2 linked regions of the Astyanax mexicanus genome follow. The protein of the gene in region 1 interacts with the protein of each later gene in a biochemical or structural test. Links are inferred from orthologs where the notes say so. Each region holds a gene or a part of one and is shown on either strand. Other genes may lie near its edges.

Region 1 (8,154 bases):
AACTGTGCAGTTTTCGTCCTACATTTACATCAAAAGTGCAGTTTTAGTCATACAATTACCTCAGCAGTTCGGTTTTGGTCCTATATTTATCTCAGCAGTGCAGTTTTAATGCTGCATTTAATTCAGCAGCGCAGTTTTAATCCTGCATTTCCCCTTAGCAGTGCACTTTTAGTTTTACTTTTACCTCAGCAGTTCAGTTTTGGTCTAAAATAAACTATGATTTATATAAATAATATGACTGAAATAAACAAGTCATTGTTGAATACAAAGTACTCAGTCTTCTTACTTATTCAGTTTAACCTAGTATGTGCCTTTTTTTTACACAGTTTTACAAAGTTTTGTTATCTTCAGACGAATATATTCTGTGTAATCCTATCAATAACCTACGAAATTGCGTTGTTTATATTGATTACGTAAAATTGTCGGTTAGTGGTTCTGAATGTCAGTTTAAATTAATTTCGGGGTAAATGCTCATCTCAAACTGTTTCTTTAAGATGAGTAGAGCCTGTCTTTATCTGTTCTGGCATGTTAAGTGACTCATATACTGCTGCCACAGCGTTTGCTGCACAAATATAAATGTAATTATTGGCAAAGCATGAAAAAGATGAGATGCAGGCGATATTTTGGGGTTGGTGCTCAAAGTGGCGCACGAGCAAGAGCGGGAAGAGTGAAGATGGCACAGGAAGCAGTGAAGTGAAGAGAAATGAGAGAGACAAGGAGGAGGAGAGAGTGTGCAGGAGAACGAGAGAGAGAGAGAGAGAGAGAGAGAGAGAAAGAGAGAGAGAGAGACGAGTGCAAGACGAGCTTGTTGGCAGAAGATCAAATTTTTAAGCTGTGCCCTACTGCAGTGGTTTATCTGAAACAATCTTCAGAGAGAAGCATACCTGGAACGGCGCCATGATTTCCACGATTCCTAAGCATTCCTAAGACCACTGCTCACTACTGTGCTCGACTGAACACGGAGATGATGGTGAGCTTAAGAGCTCAGAAGAAGATTCTTCATTTCAAATACACTCAAACCTCATCCCTCAGGCTTTAGTCCGACCCTACAGTTGCTGTAGATGTAGACTCTACTACTTCCGTGTAACCTTTCACTACACGCAAAAGAGAGCATGGTGCTCCACGAATCACGACGGAGCTGCGCAATTCTACAGCCGTGCAGCTCAGTCAATTCCCAGTAGCATGCGTGCATGCGCAAGTCTAGGCTTTTCTGCTAGCGCTAATCAATAGCGGCTCTGTGGAGTGGCTTGATTGCAGCAGGTGGCAGACAGATTGGACGAACTCGTCCGTGTCCCCCGGTGGTTCTCTACCAACTTTCAAGGGATTCGCCGCCGCAGCCCTGAAGGCTGAGCTGTCTTGTGCTCCCTTATGTTTGCCATAATCTCCTGCAACAGTTCCAGACTGGAACAGATTCTCGCCTCGTGGAAGAGCAATGAGATGTAGAGGTTTTTAATCGTTAGACATGTTCCAAATCTCAATGTAAAAGTCTCAGTTTAGTTAATTAAAGGTTTATAATAAATTGAAGTAAAAATTCATCTCCATTAATTGACATTTTCCACTTTTTTTCCCTCCGTTTTCTCCCCAATGTACACAGCCAATTACCTAACCCACTCATTAAGACTCTAAGACGATGCCCCAACACCAGGAGAGAGAAGACTAGCACATGCCTCCTCTGATACATGTGAATTGGAGGAAAGAGCAGTGACTCGGTTCTAATACATCAGCTAACAGATGCCTCATGCTGATCGACATCACCCTTTAGAGTCATGTGGGGAAAGATCGCTATCTACCCACCCGAGAGAGAGAGAGCAAGGCCAATTGTTGTTGTGCTCTCTCAAGGCTCTCACCGGTAGCCGATAGCAAGCTACATGAACAGGTTTCGAACCGGAAATCTACTGATCACAGTGGCAGCGTTTTCAAAAGTTTTTCCTCTTACCTTGTAAAGTTTATATAGTGAAAGCTTTGTGCATTGCAGTGTGTCAAATACAAAATGTTGCCTTGGAAACTGATTTAATTGATTGAAGGACAAATATGCCAATACCATTACCTTAATACCATTCCATAGTGTTTATTCTTGTTGTCATATTCTTGTGTAATATATTCAAACTCAATTTAGACAAAGACAATGTATGTGTCAGTCCTGACGCTGTCTGTCTGCCTGCTCAAGATTGTCCTCTAAAGACTCAACTTGCCAGCATGCACCCACAATGGACTTCCATGACTCCACTGATTACATGATGCTATGGTGTTCCTGCTCTCCTAGCTACTAATTGGTTCCACCTGTCCTCCCTAGTATATATACCCCTCAATTTGCACAGTTCAGTCCTAAGTAATGTAGGATACATTGCTGTTTTTCCTACTTTGATATTGACCCTTTTTTTTTAAATCACTGTTTATAGTCTTTTGCCTTGCCCATTTTGTTGATTACCCGTAGCCAAATGTTTTTGTAATAGCAGGGGTATGAATGATTTTGTAAGCAAATGCTCTTTGTTTGTTATTTTCCAACAAGATCCAAAAAATGGATCCCAAAAAAAGTTTTTTGATAGTAATTATCTCCTTTTGTATTTTTTGGTTCCATTTTTTCTAAATTCAAAAAAAAAAAAAAAAAAGAGAAAATAACTATTAAACATGTTTTTGTATATTATATTGTTGTCTGTTTGTATATTTGTGTTGCCATATACTGTACAGTATCCTTGATGTTACATTAGCGTCTCGATCTGCTGGATTAAATGTGATAATCCATGCCGTGCCCATGGGGGGAGAGATTAAACTGGCTCCTCGTTTTTTCACAAAAGAACAAAGAGAGACCACCCCCACACACTCCACATTCTGTCTACCTCAAAACACACACCTCAAGAGCTCATGCGAACAGGTTCTGTCGAGCGAGCTGCCGGCATGTTCTTGCATGAGCGGATGTTTTTTTTGAGGCTGGTTTGTTTGTCTCCTGTGTTGTTTGCGTCTGAGCTGGGAATGTGGGCTAGAAAGCCCACCCCCGACCCCCCTGAACACGGACATCCGGGGTCCTGCATTAGTCACAGCTGCTGGGAGAATATTGTAGGGTATTGTAGGCTTCAGGTCGGAAAATGACAAGGTGAAAACCTGTGTTTTTGAGCTGGTTCTTGTTTTTGAAGGCAGCCGGGTACAGCTCTGTTCCACATCAAGGAGAAGCAATGCCTTTCTAAAACACTGTAAAACAAAGAAGCGAGACCACCACCAGCAGCAGCAAGTCTGGCAGGCTGCACACTCCCAGTTCACCATGTGGGTCACTGTCACGCGCTGCTTGACTGCTGGCAGAAGCTGAGGTGTCATTGGTGGAAATCAGCCCAATTAACACGTACCGCTCTGGAACGCTAATGCTATTAGCGGCTCAGTCCGTGTTTGGGGTGGCTGGAGATGGGGCTAGGGCTGGAACTCCTGCTGGTGGAGGGTGCTGTAATGTAATCCCCTCATGCTTTTGTTTGTTTGGCAATGCGAACCACTCCAACACCCACCCGCTCCAGCTTGTCTGAGTGCATCATCTCCTGTGCTGCAGCACCTCTAAAAATGGGCTTTTGGAGGGAAAAAAAACATATGTTTAGAGCTGACTTAAAAGAATACTTACTTTTTAAGCACTGCAGCTTTAAGTTACAAGCTATAGTACTATTCACGAGTGGGGAGGGAAATCTATGTTCTCTTTTCTGGTAGTTGTTTTTTTTTGACAAGAATAACATTGGCTGGTAACCTGAGCAAATATTGGCACTGAGAATGGCATTGATACCAGAGCAAATGCAAACATTTTAGAGATATCAAAACTTCAAATGTAAACTTTTAAACCTTCTCGTACATGCATTTTTAAACCGAAAAAACTGATCTGACAATCTAAAAATTAATTTTTAGAAAATCTGCACGTTTAGTAAAACACATTCTTGTTTGTTTAGTGTTGAAACAGCTTAGCATGAAGCAGAAAGAGCATTAGTTCATAGTTACAGTAGTTAATTGTCTGGATAATAAATCAGGTTAAACTGCACCTGAACAGCTTATCAGTTTATCTCAAATAAAAGGAGTATTTTTGATTGTCGAGTCAGATAGAGAACGGATCACATTCTTGTTTGGAACCGGTCTGAAATTATCTCCTCTAGGGGGTCTCGGTATGGTTGTTTTGGTCTGCACCAGAGTTTTATTACTGTTTTCACACCTGCTAAAAAAAAACGAACCGCACCAGAGTGTGTTTTAACTGGAGCAAATAGTGCTGGTGTGAAAACACCCTTAGTTAGCTGTGCTCTTACGATGATGGATTCCTTTGTTCTCGTAAATTGTGCAAATCTCAAATATAGAAGTAGTGGGGAATGTTGGAAAAGGTCTAGTGAGTTTATTTACAATGCATCTCAGAATGCGATGATTGACATTTCTCAGACTCCATTGCATTGAAAGAATAAATATCAACTTCAGCTGGTTAAAAATCAACTTTACACAATTCTACTCTGACCACAGATTAACCCAGGCAGGGGGTGGGGTGCAAAAATGCAGAAATGCACAAATTCTTTCTTCAAAGGATTCTTTTAAATTATAGGACATCATCTGGAATTCCTTCAGTCTTTATTGCCCGCATTCTTGGAGGCACGCAAAATACCACCTTGTGCAGCTTCTCCACCTTCCTCAGGCTTTTTAGCTTTTGGCAAATCAGGGGGAAAGCAGGGGGAAGGGTGGGCAGTGAAGTGGCAGCATAAACCCACAGCTCAGGGATTCCTCGCCTGGCTGCCGGGTCCTTTGAACTTTGTGTCTCTCGCTCTCTTTTGCTGTGAAGGAATAAGCAGAAGAACAAGCCGGCCTCTCCTCTGTATGTGTACGAGTCCCCACCTCCCTCCCTCTCTCTCTCTCTCTCGCTCCTCATTCCCCACACTCCACAATGCGCACACACCCTCTTTGGCTCTCGCACGCACTGACACACACACAATGGACTACTCAGCAGGCGGCGAGTGCTGAAGGCTGGGCAGAGGGAGCCGGGCTGGACGGGGTCTATTCTCTCGGAAGAGTCGGCCAGGTCCGCAGGAGCTGATATTTGACCCATTCCCTATCGTTTTATACCCCCTCCTCCCTCCTCGCCTCCTCTGCTGCTCCCTGCCTTCTTCTTTCTTCAGTCTTTAGGAGATCACTCGCTTTCTCTTTTCAGCAGCTCTTTGTGCAGCGGAATACACTCTCACATCGCTGCTGCCGCTACTACTGCCGCCACCGCTGCCAAGACTACCGCTGCTGCTGTCGCTGCTACTACTACCGCTACTGCTGCTCCAGCTGCCGCTGATTCTTCTGCCTCTTCTGCCTCTGCCTCTGACTGCTGCTGCCACTGGAGCAGGAGGAGGAGTGCGGCAGTTTTGCGTGTAGATCGCTGGAATGGAACGCTTCCTTGGCTTTGTAAAGCAAATTCGCAGGTCCCGCAGACGCAAGGGCAAAAAGTACCGGCCCGAAGAGGATTACCACGAGGGCTATGAGGATGTGTATTACTACGCTTCCGAGCACCTGCACAGTAAGTGGTCCTGCTTGACTGAATGCCATCCCGGGGACTGTGCAGGGGTCCGGCAAGGGATCCTGCCCCCACAGATCTGTTTTATTGTTTTACCATCAGTGTGAATCATTAGCCTTGAGCTGGCAATAAGAGAGAGGCAGGCAGGCAGGCGGGCAGGTGGGATGGTTAGTCGGGGTGGGTGGTTGGAAAGGAGGGACTGACTTTGTTTCGGGGGGCAAATCGAGAGGCTTATGCGCAGCTTGTGAAGCCCTGTGGAGTGTGGCCAGGTCGCAGGGCGATAATGGATGTGATAATGTCTCAATGTCTCAAGTTGCCTGTTGTCACAAACACGTGTATGTGTGTGTGTGTATACACACGTTTGCGTCGGTGTGCCTGTGGCTGCAGTAAAGAGCGTGTCCTGCCAGTCTTGATAAATGGCATGTATCGGATAACGCTTATTTCTATTGATTGAGCGTGAATGGTTTGTCAGAGAAGGTCTCGGAGCGAACTGTGTGTGTGCGCACATGTGGTCAGTCCCGGCCATGTGCAGGCCACCTTAATGCCTTAGTGTTGCACCACCTAAAGGTTTGGTTGGTTAGTTGGTTGGTTAGTTGGTTGGTTTGGATGCTTGTTTGCTTTCTGCCCTTGTCTTAAATGAGGTAGGAAGATAGATAGAAAGGTAGGTAGGTGTGTTTGTGTTGTCACCCCTCCCCCGCCGTTGCTGACATGCTGCTTCGCCCTAAAGGCACGTTGTTCTCAGGTGACGTGTGTGGTGTGTGTGTCTGTGTGTGTGTGAGAGTGTGTAGCGGCTTGTTTAAAAATACAGCAGCCGTCTGCCCGTCTTCCGTCACCTACTTTCATCTATTATGAAGCAGCACTCTCTTCGTGCCCCCGGAAGAGAAGCGTTTGTCTCCTGCCTCCTGCAGTCGTTCATTAGCTGTTCTTAGCTTAGTGCTTCCATTACTTCCATTACGTACAGCTGTGGAACTCAGCTGATCGCAGCTCTGCGTTGAGAAGCAGGTTTTATCTATTAAACTACTAAGCTGTGTACTTCTTCCCTCAAGCAGTTCCCCCTAACTAGTGACCTCAAGGTTGTAAATGGAATGACAGGCAAGGGAGCAAAGGGAGGCCTGTCATCTACATTCCTTCCCTCCTTACTTTGCTGAGTAAGAGAGATGGAATGACCTGGAGTCAGACCCAGAACAGATGTACGGAACCTTGCTCTGGTGCCGTAGCCCTCCTGGCTTGCTGGGTTAGCATTCAGAACCAGCACTGAGTTGTTTTCAGGGTTTTCTCCTTAACAGTCCACAGAGCACAGAGTAGAGCGAGTGAAGGCCTTTGACATTCAGGAAGGTCTGGAATGTCTGTATTTTCATACCTTAGGATTAAGCAGTTGCTTGAATTTTGATGTTGTGGTTTGTGGCCTCACGTCGGGACCCCAAACCCGTAGAGCCACCATGTTCTTGTTGTTCCCTGCGACTCTTTGTTACTCACCCAGCCTGAGAATTGAATGGATGATGACTGGCTTAATTGATTGCACAACTCGAGTCATGTTTTATTCTACAGCGCATGCTGTTTAATGTGCACAGAACCATTAATTAAATAGGAGCTTTTTTCATTAGCGGATGGTTACGACTGTGATTTTTTGCCTGATGGCGGAAACCGGCTCTCTCGGTAGTCTCGCTCTTGCATGCATGCGTTTAGTCAGATATTCGCTTTGATGTGCAATCGCAAAAGCTCAGCTCTGCAACATAAAATTAGACACCTAATTGGCCCAGCTGGAGTCCAAGTGAGTCAGACACAGGAAGTGGGGGAATAAATGGCATTGGGAAGAGTTTTTAGATATGGGGACCTATCCGACATGGAGATGTTTAAACCTGAGTCTCTCAAGTTTGTTGGTATGCGAGTCTAGAAGGCCACAATTAGGCCTGAGATGACAGTAGATCTTGCTAAAAAGCCAGACTTACAGCTGTGGCTCGACGCATCCCGGAGCGCACAGTGGCAACCCACGCTAATTAACTTCTGTGACCGAAAAAAACTGTAAATGTCACACTTGGTCACTGAGCCTACCCTCATCTGTGCTTCAGAGCCCCTCCTCTCTGCATCATTTATATCAACCTCATGCATAATTCATGCTGAGGTTGTAGTCTGCCCATTCCTGTACATTCATCAAACTCCTACTTGTGTGAGACCCTGCCATTTGCCTTCTAATGGGATTCATCCGTCTGCAGTCCCCATCCTCCCCTGGCTTGGGGGACGTGTACACTTTTGGGTTTTGAAAAATGATTCATTTCACCACGACAATAAGGAAGACTCGGGCAGGGCATGCTCACTCATAAATCTGGGAAATGAGGAACAGCGGAGCGCCAAAAAGGAGGATAAAGAGAAGCTTTGTGGCTTTCAATTCCTGCCATTTGTTTTCCTGCACCTTCTGCACGCAAGCAAGCAAGCAACGAGTGTGATCTTCTTCTGCGGCTTTCCATTTGTAGACGTCTCCATTTCTAATAATATAAAATGTCTAGGGTTAGGGTTAGAATAGTTTAGAATAGACGAAAATCTCCCCTCTTCTTCTTCTCTTACCTGACATGTTAGAAATTGTCAAGGCTGACAGCAATGTTGAAGCAGGATTCCTCACTTACAAGTGATCCACTTTTAGAACATCTATTAAAATGAGA
Region 2 (8,025 bases), on another chromosome or scaffold:
TAATCTGTTATAATGAACAGAAGGATAACTGCATATAATAATTCAGATTGCCTAACCATATTGCAAACCCACCACTTCTAAGGTCTTCTACACTGGACCTGTGTGCTCACTGTCCCCCTAGAGTGTGTTTGTGTGTTCACCAGTATGTGTATGTGTGTGTTAGCTATTGCATACCCATACAGATAATTATCTCTCTCTCTTTTTCTCTTTCTCTCTCTCTCTCTTTCTCTCTTTCTCTCTCTCTCTCTCTCTCTCTCTCTCCCTCTCTCAATCACTCTCTTCTAAAGAAGTAAAGATGAAGAAGACCTCAGAAACATTCCCCTCCACTCATTCTTAATGACGCTCAGCGCTGGATCAACACTACCCTTTAACTTAAAAATTCCTTTTTGTTTTTACATCAGTAATAATTCCATTCATTCATATTTGCAATACTGTTTCTATTACTGTGCCATTAAGAGTGCTGTAGAAGTCTGTAAACAAGCTCTGTTCTGATTGGCTCTCCTGTATTGTGCCTTATTCAAGATGTCTGGGCTGAAACATATTTGTCAGTGTAAGTGTGCTGGGTTTTATAACATCACAAAAGCAAGTTAAAACCAAGTTTGTTGATTTTGTTTTGTGCAGTTCACTGTCCATATGTGGACTATATGAACTGGGGAGTGAATGATATCTTTTGAAGCTATGACAATGTTTACATCCTTTTTTTTTGAAAACCATCAAGTTGGGAAAGTTGTCTGTGATATGGGCTGTTTAAGAAAAGTGATTATTTTTGTTATTTTGCATCAGTTACTGTAAATCCAGGATGTGTCCTAAAAGCGCAAGTGTGGTGATAACAGTTGGAAGAAAAGGAAACGTGAAGTTCTCAGGCTTTTAATTCTAAACACAAAATTGTCTTACTTTCCTGTCTCTAGTTTTTCTTGTCTATGTATTTTCTTGCCTTGTTTTTTTTTAACTATAATCAAATTCACTAAATTGTAATAATGATGGAAAATTAAGAGACACTATATGACCTCTTTGTTGTAGTGTATACTAGGGATACAATTCAGTATATCAAATTATATTGTGATTACTGCAAGTAAGGCAATATATTGCAAAAAATCATAGTATATCAAAACACACACTTATTATATAAATAAAATGTGAATTAAAGGAAACTACTTTATGCATCTATAACAGTAAAACACTGCTATCTAGTGGGTGGGATTTTAACACAACACAGTATGAACCATTAAAACTAATTAAACAAATCTATTATTGCAATAATATATTATTGCAAAACCATATATCATGTTTTGGTATGATATTGCTTTTTTAAAACCCTAAACAATCACTTTGTGTATACCACATGGTTGAAAATCTAAGTACTTTGAAGATTTAAAGCAAAAAAACTAATAGACATGACTGATAACTGATAGATCAACCAAAATATGTTTAATTTCTGAAATTTGCTTTGTTAGTTTATGACGCTATGCTAATAATTACACCTTGTATACACAGATAGCCATATATTTTAAATTTTATCATATGAATAAACGTAAATACTGTTCTATTGCAAATATATATTTTTTAGATTTAGACACAATCCACAATTCCATGACTTGCAGAGTACACTACCGAGGGAGTATTGGGTATGTTGGGATGATTATTCTATTTTCTTCCTTCTTTGTGGTGTGTTGATGTCTCTGTTTATGAGGTACTACAGACCTGCCAACATTTTCACATTTTGTGTAATGTGCACGCATTTTGACATCCTAGTACACTTGTACAATACGTTTTATAAAATATGCATATTGTTTGCCAGTTTCAGTCAGGTTGTCACTGACACAAGCAAAGTGCTTTCAGCCAATCAGAGCACTTCATGTTCATCCAACCACCCCACGTCTGCTAGCTTCGAACTTTAGTCAGAGCCCTTATAATGATGATAGTGCTGTCATGCTGTTTATCGACATGGCCGGTAAGCATAAACACTATTCCAGCAAACTAATTATGGAGCCATCCACTACTTTTATTCACACTTAATTTTCCTCCAAACTTTCAGCACATTTCTTCAAGGTTGGCAGGTCTGGGTACTATTACCCCTTACAGGGCCATATTGCTCAGCCCTACATGGTGTGTGCCAAAATAATAGGATTTATATACTGAACGATCAGGTTTTACAGTTTTTCTACTTTTTAAATGCACTGTAAACTGTCAGCCCCTTGATGCCTTGATATACAGCTATGCACTGTGAATGCACATCCAATAAAATGAAATAATAATGTTCATGTGTTTGTTTTTTTACTTTTTTGGCATTTAAACAATGTTTTGGCATGGTCTCTATTCCCTGCCCAAAAACAGCCTGCCCATCTAAAGCTAGTCTAGCTAAAATGGTTCTTAAAGGTTTGTGAACCCTTTAAATTTTTATCTATATAAATATTCTGCATAAATATGATCTAAAACATCATCAAACATTTTCTGTAACTTTTGATCAGTCCTGCTCCACTGCCTTGGAGGAATTTTAGCTTTTTACTCTGTACAGAACAGCTTTAAATCTGGGATGTTGGTGCGTTTCCTCACATTAACTGCACACTTCAGTTCCTTTCACAACATTTCCATTGGTTGACCACTCCTTATACAATCTGTCTGACTGTGTATTGTTAGAGTCAAAACTCTTTAGAGATGTTTTTTAACCTTTTAACTTTTTTCAGCTTGATGAGCATCAACTACTCTTTTTCTAAGGATCTCAGAAATCACATTTGTTCGTGTTATAATAGACTTCTATAAAGGTGTTGTGAAGAGCAGATTTTAAAGCTGATGTTCATAGGTTTTGGGATTAAGGGCCCTCTCTGGTGAGAATAGGTAATTCCGCCAAGCATGTGGAAGAATCACTTTAAACTGGGTGGGTGTCTCCTTTCAGAGTGGATGAATTCGATTCCAGGTTATGTTCTTCATTTCTTTGTTTTTTATATGAGATACTGAGCTCTGAGTTTTCTCTTCTGAAGTCTCCATTGTTCCACCAGCCACTCGCATTCAATAAAACTGCGCCGAATCCTCTTTTAGAGTCTGTAGTGTGAATTCCCGCAAAAAGTGGTCTGACACCCCAGTTTTTAGAATGAATATATTAGGCTTAGCAGGGACGGTGGTTTCAGCACACTGGTACCATCAAACACAATATTTTCTTCCTTCTCCACTCAGAAATGCTTCTGCTTTCAGTTTAGAAACAAAATAATACAGACTTACATTTTAAATAAATCACTGTTAAATAAAATAAGGTTCTCACTTACACCTGATTGTCATACTATCCATTGAAACACCTGACTCTAATTTCACCTTCAAACTAACTGCTAATCCTAGAAGGTCACATCATTTTGCCAGTCACAAATATGTAATATTGGATAATATTATGAACCACTGTAATTAAGCTGGTTAACCAGCATAGGGTGTTTTTTATGGTTAAGCTGGTCTACAATCATGATCAATCTGAACAAGCCAGACCTCAAGTATGACCAGCATGACCACCAGCCTGACTAAGCAGGTTACCCAGCAACAATATGCGGTGCAAACAGCTGACCAACCACAACAGACTCAACTGCAATCCCCTCAACTAGCTCATCTCACACACTAATGACTGGACAAAGGACCAACTATACTCAGGAAATCAGTTTTATTCTAAATCATTCTGAAATCTAACAGAGTTGGAAATAAGCTTGGTCATTTTTTAACACCAACAAAGGTCACAAATTACGTTTGTTCTTTCTTAGTCCTTTCTGATCCTGTCTGTGTTTCTAGCCATGTGCTCTTTAAGCACATTGCCCTGTTTTGCTGTTGTCTTGTCTCCTGTTTTTTTTTTCAACCCTCCTTACTACCCCAGGTGTTCCTTGAGGCAGGGCCTTCCAAAAAGAAAAAAGATAAAACTCATTTCACCTCTAAATACTCTAAATTTAATAAAAAAAAAAAAGGAAAATTAATTGATATAAAAGTAAAGTTCCTATATGATTTGGTGTGCAAATTTTATTTTGTTTTGTTTTTTTTTTGGTGGGGGGTGGGGGGGTTAACCTCCCTGAAATCAACTTTTGCAACTTGGGATGTCTGCTGTGTATATATACCCCATATCTACTTTGTTCTCTGTCATGCTTTTGATGTTTGTGCCTGCTAAGTTTCTGCTTTGTTTTCTTTAGTTTGTTTGTTTCTTTGTTTATTAGAGTTCTTTTAGAGTATTTAGTATTAGAGTATTAGAGTATTTTTATTATTTTTTGTAAGGGCTAATAATAAAAAAAATCTGACATTCATTTGCATTCTGCTTCTGGACCATTACAATTCTATGGCATTTTAATGGTACTTATGGCAATAATGGTTAAAAAACACAGAAGCAACATATGTCAAATTACCAAAAATAATATTAAAAGACAGAGACCTGATTTAATAAATAATTATCTCAAATTAATAATTTGTTCCCACAATTTAGTAAATTAGTCTCAATTTTTTTTTATCTCACAATTTAATAGATTATTCCGGAATTCTAAAGAAACAGATCATTTATAAACATGTTAATAAACTATTCCCACCATTTACTGAATCAGCCTTAAATTTAGTAATTATTCCCTCAGTTTTACTAATCTACATAGCCTATTAAATTCTTTCAACAATGTAATAAATTAAACTTCCACAATTTAATAAATAATTAACACAATTAGTACATCATTCCCAGATAGCAAAAGTATGTTCACTCATCATTCATTTTTCCATCTCTAAAGCATGAAAACAGCATTGATTTCTGATGCTGATTAATTCCCACAATTTAACGTATGTTTTTTTATTTATACATTTAAAAAATCAAAGAGAAATGTTGATACATTTATGTAATTATTTATAAAAACGAGGAAACGTTTTATAAATAAAAAAAAAACATCAGTTTCTACTTTGTATCGATTGTATCGAGTATCCAGCCCTGAGCGCGGTTGTCTTGCAGGGTTTGGCCGAGCGGGGGCGGTAGTGAGCCCGGCCTTCCTTCCCCGCCGAGTCCGCGGGAGATCGGATCAGAGCGGTTGCGTGTTCGCTGCTGCTGCTGCTGCTCTCTTCCCCCCCAAGCTTGAAGATGGCGGTGTCGGTGTTCCCCGGCGTGCGGCTCCTCTCCATTGGGGACGCGAACGGAGATATCCAGCGGCACTCGGAGCAGCAGCCTCTGCGCCTGGAGGTGAAAACTACGCAGGACGCGGCCCTGATCAACCTCTCCAACAGTGAGTGGACGCTCCGCCGTAACGTCCAGCCTTTGTGTCCGGCACGCTTAGCTAACTAGCGTTAGCGAGCGGTGGCTAGGCTAACGGGGCTACAGGGTTTAATATTTAGGCTGTAGATATAATATATTAGTTATATTGGTTTATGAGGTGATACGTATGTGTGTTAGGTGTCGTTTTCGAGTTTGTGCTGTTTAATTAGTGTGAAACTGTGCTTTGTGTGACTAAAAGCAGCTGCAAGTGTAGCAATGGGTAGTCCAACTCCAGAAAGTAAAAATCCAAGCCCAGGTTTTGTTCCAACTGTATGGGCGGATTGGTTGCAGTACAGCCGTCATAGCGGTTTGAACAAAAACCGCGGTGGATTTTTACTTTGTGTATCTGGAAACTGTCTGTTTATTACACACGACTGAAACCACGTTGGTAGACTATTAGCACTCAATGCTAACTCATAGCTAGCTTATTATTGATGCTGGTTGGCGCTGGTGCGGATTGAACCCAGGTCCAAAAAGTAGCTATTAATCCAGCCCAGGATTTAGATCAAACTGCTTGAGCAGCTTTGCTGTGCCCTTCTAAGAGCCAGAAAAACAGCTTTTAACATTTATATATTTTTTTTATTTCACTAAGTATTATGGTTCAACAACTGGTATGGTTAAAATAAAAAAATCTTTGTTTATTTTTTATATTATTTTCCTTGTAGTGGTCACTGGGTCTTGATTAGTCTAAGAATGTAGGGGACAAAAAGCTAATGGTATTGAAATGTGAAAATAGTTTTCCCTCCATCTAGGGATGGACACATCCCATTGGTTTGTGTGCTCTAAAATGTGTCCAGTACGGTTAGAGTGACCAGAAGACTGGAAATCTGAGGGGTCCACCTCTCACCTTTACTCTCACTGCCTTACTGTCCTGCCTTCAGCCATCCTCCTGTTCCTCTCCTGGCAGCTCTAATGCTGCATTTATGTGCTGTTGGAATTATGTGAAATATGACTGACTGATTTGGAAGTTGCATACAAACAGCCTCCTGAACACTTAATTCCAGAGAAATTCTGAGAAAAAGAGAATCTGTAGCGGATTTTAAAAGTGCAGCTGCTGTTAACAGTTGTCTGCACATTTTCTAGACTATAGCCCTGTCCGAATGGGATTCGTTTCTCAGGAGGTCCTGGGGTAATTTTTTCTTTTATGTGGTGTCCTCTGTAATTTTATTTCCGTCTGGAACGACCATGTATGTGTTTTTCTCAGATGTCCTCTGAGAAAACTACACGCAGAATTTCCCACTGTTTTCCGCTGAACTCCGTGGTCCTCCGGTAATTTTACTCCAGTCCGGCCGCACATCTGAGTTTAGTCACATTGCTTTTAATAAAATAACTATTTTTCCACTGCCACTCCACTGTAATTACACATTGGGCTCACAGAGATCCACATAAATACAACATTGAGTGGACATGGAGGAGCTACTGAACGCAATTTCACGTGACCTAGAAAGCCAAAAAACTCAATGGTCTTAGTTTTTTCAATTGCAGTCCGGACGCAAGAGTTTTATCACTAAGTAAAAGTGTGAAATATTTTTCACAGACATACCCCTGAAGAAAACCAATCCTGTCCAGATAGGGCTTATGAATCTGTTCATTGCAAAGTTGACTACTCTACTAAAACCTTTTTCTTCAAGAAACCAGCAAAAACAAACCTTGTCTTCCTTTCTTCATGTTGCTCAAAAAAAAAAAACACCCTTGCATGTGACATGCTCGTAGGTTTTTATTTCACAAGTGCAAAGTATGACTTTTTCTCTGACTAGCTAGCACAAGAACACAGCATTAGTCTGACATTTCCTATACAATTCTGAGTAAAATTCATTCAGCATCTTTTGAAGCTGGATAAAATTGGAGGCAGTATTTGTCTGCTACAGAGGTCACTGAAAAAAAATTGATAGTTAAAATGACTGTAGACTTCTAAAATACTGGACAAATTAAAGGAAAGTGTTATTTTAAAGAAACAATTTCTGTATTAGCAGCAGAAACAAAATAAATGCAAAAAATGTATACATTTCTTGGTGCCTTAAAATGTGAAAGCTGTGATGGTCACTAATTTAAAAAGAAAGTCCCTGAGCTTTGTTGGCAATACACATCCCAGCAATTGAAGTTTCATTGGACAGCATAGAATGTTCAGTGTTGATGATAGAAAAGTTCAAGGGTTCAAGCCATTTTCATAAATTGTGATGGACTTAAAGTTTCTCGACTTGTGTCCATTATAGTTGTCAATATTGAAATGGCATTTCCCACAAGGATAAATTCTAATAAAGCTCCCCAGTAAGCTGGATCAAAATCCTGAGGCAGACTTTCACTCTTTGGACATGGATTTACCTCCTATGCTTCTTGGCGTTAAGTCATAAAGTTAGCCAGCAGCACTCTGTTTCTTTTCAGCTGATTTACGAGTGTGCTGTACACAGAGAAACAAAGCTCACCCCTCAAATCTAAACCAGAGATTATGATTTCCCCAGAGTTCCCTCTGTTTCGTTTGAAGTTAAAGCACTCCAGGTAACCCTAAAGCCTAATGCTTAACGCCTGCCAGCTGGCAGTGGGACTGAGTGTGTTGTGGTGTTGAAGCTCAGATGGCGCACATCATTGCTCTGCTTCTTAAGAGAAATACTGATGGATATAAATGTTCTTCAGTAGGTCTGTTAAGCTTTATAACATGCAGGGCGCTGAGCCTGTGCTTTAAGACGCTCATCTTTGTTCACTGGAAGACAATAGCCAGTCCCCCTGCCTCCCCTCTCGCCTCTTGCCCGCCTGTTCATTCAGTGGTCTCTGCTTTTGTTTGGGAA

What was found.
Region 2: the proteins of grip1 (region 1) and carm1 form a complex in vitro, tested with the Homo sapiens proteins (2 studies listed by BioGRID). The link is inferred for Astyanax mexicanus from reciprocal best matches to the Homo sapiens genes GRIP1 and CARM1.

The regions. Positions count from the first base shown.
Region 1 is NC_064409.1:11,298,258-11,306,411, reverse strand, and holds the start of grip1 (glutamate receptor-interacting protein 1), read left to right. Parts: upstream 1-4,896; 5' UTR 4,897-5,367; coding exon 5,368-5,500; intron 5,501-8,154. UniProt on the Homo sapiens protein: May play a role as a localized scaffold for the assembly of a multiprotein signaling complex and as mediator of the trafficking of its binding partners at specific subcellular location in neurons.
Region 2 is NC_064426.1:9,725,321-9,733,345, forward strand, and holds the start of carm1 (histone-arginine methyltransferase CARM1), read left to right. Parts: upstream 1-4,989; 5' UTR 4,990-5,071; coding exon 5,072-5,213; intron 5,214-8,025. UniProt on the Homo sapiens protein: Methylates (mono- and asymmetric dimethylation) the guanidino nitrogens of arginyl residues in several proteins involved in DNA packaging, transcription regulation, pre-mRNA splicing, and mRNA stability.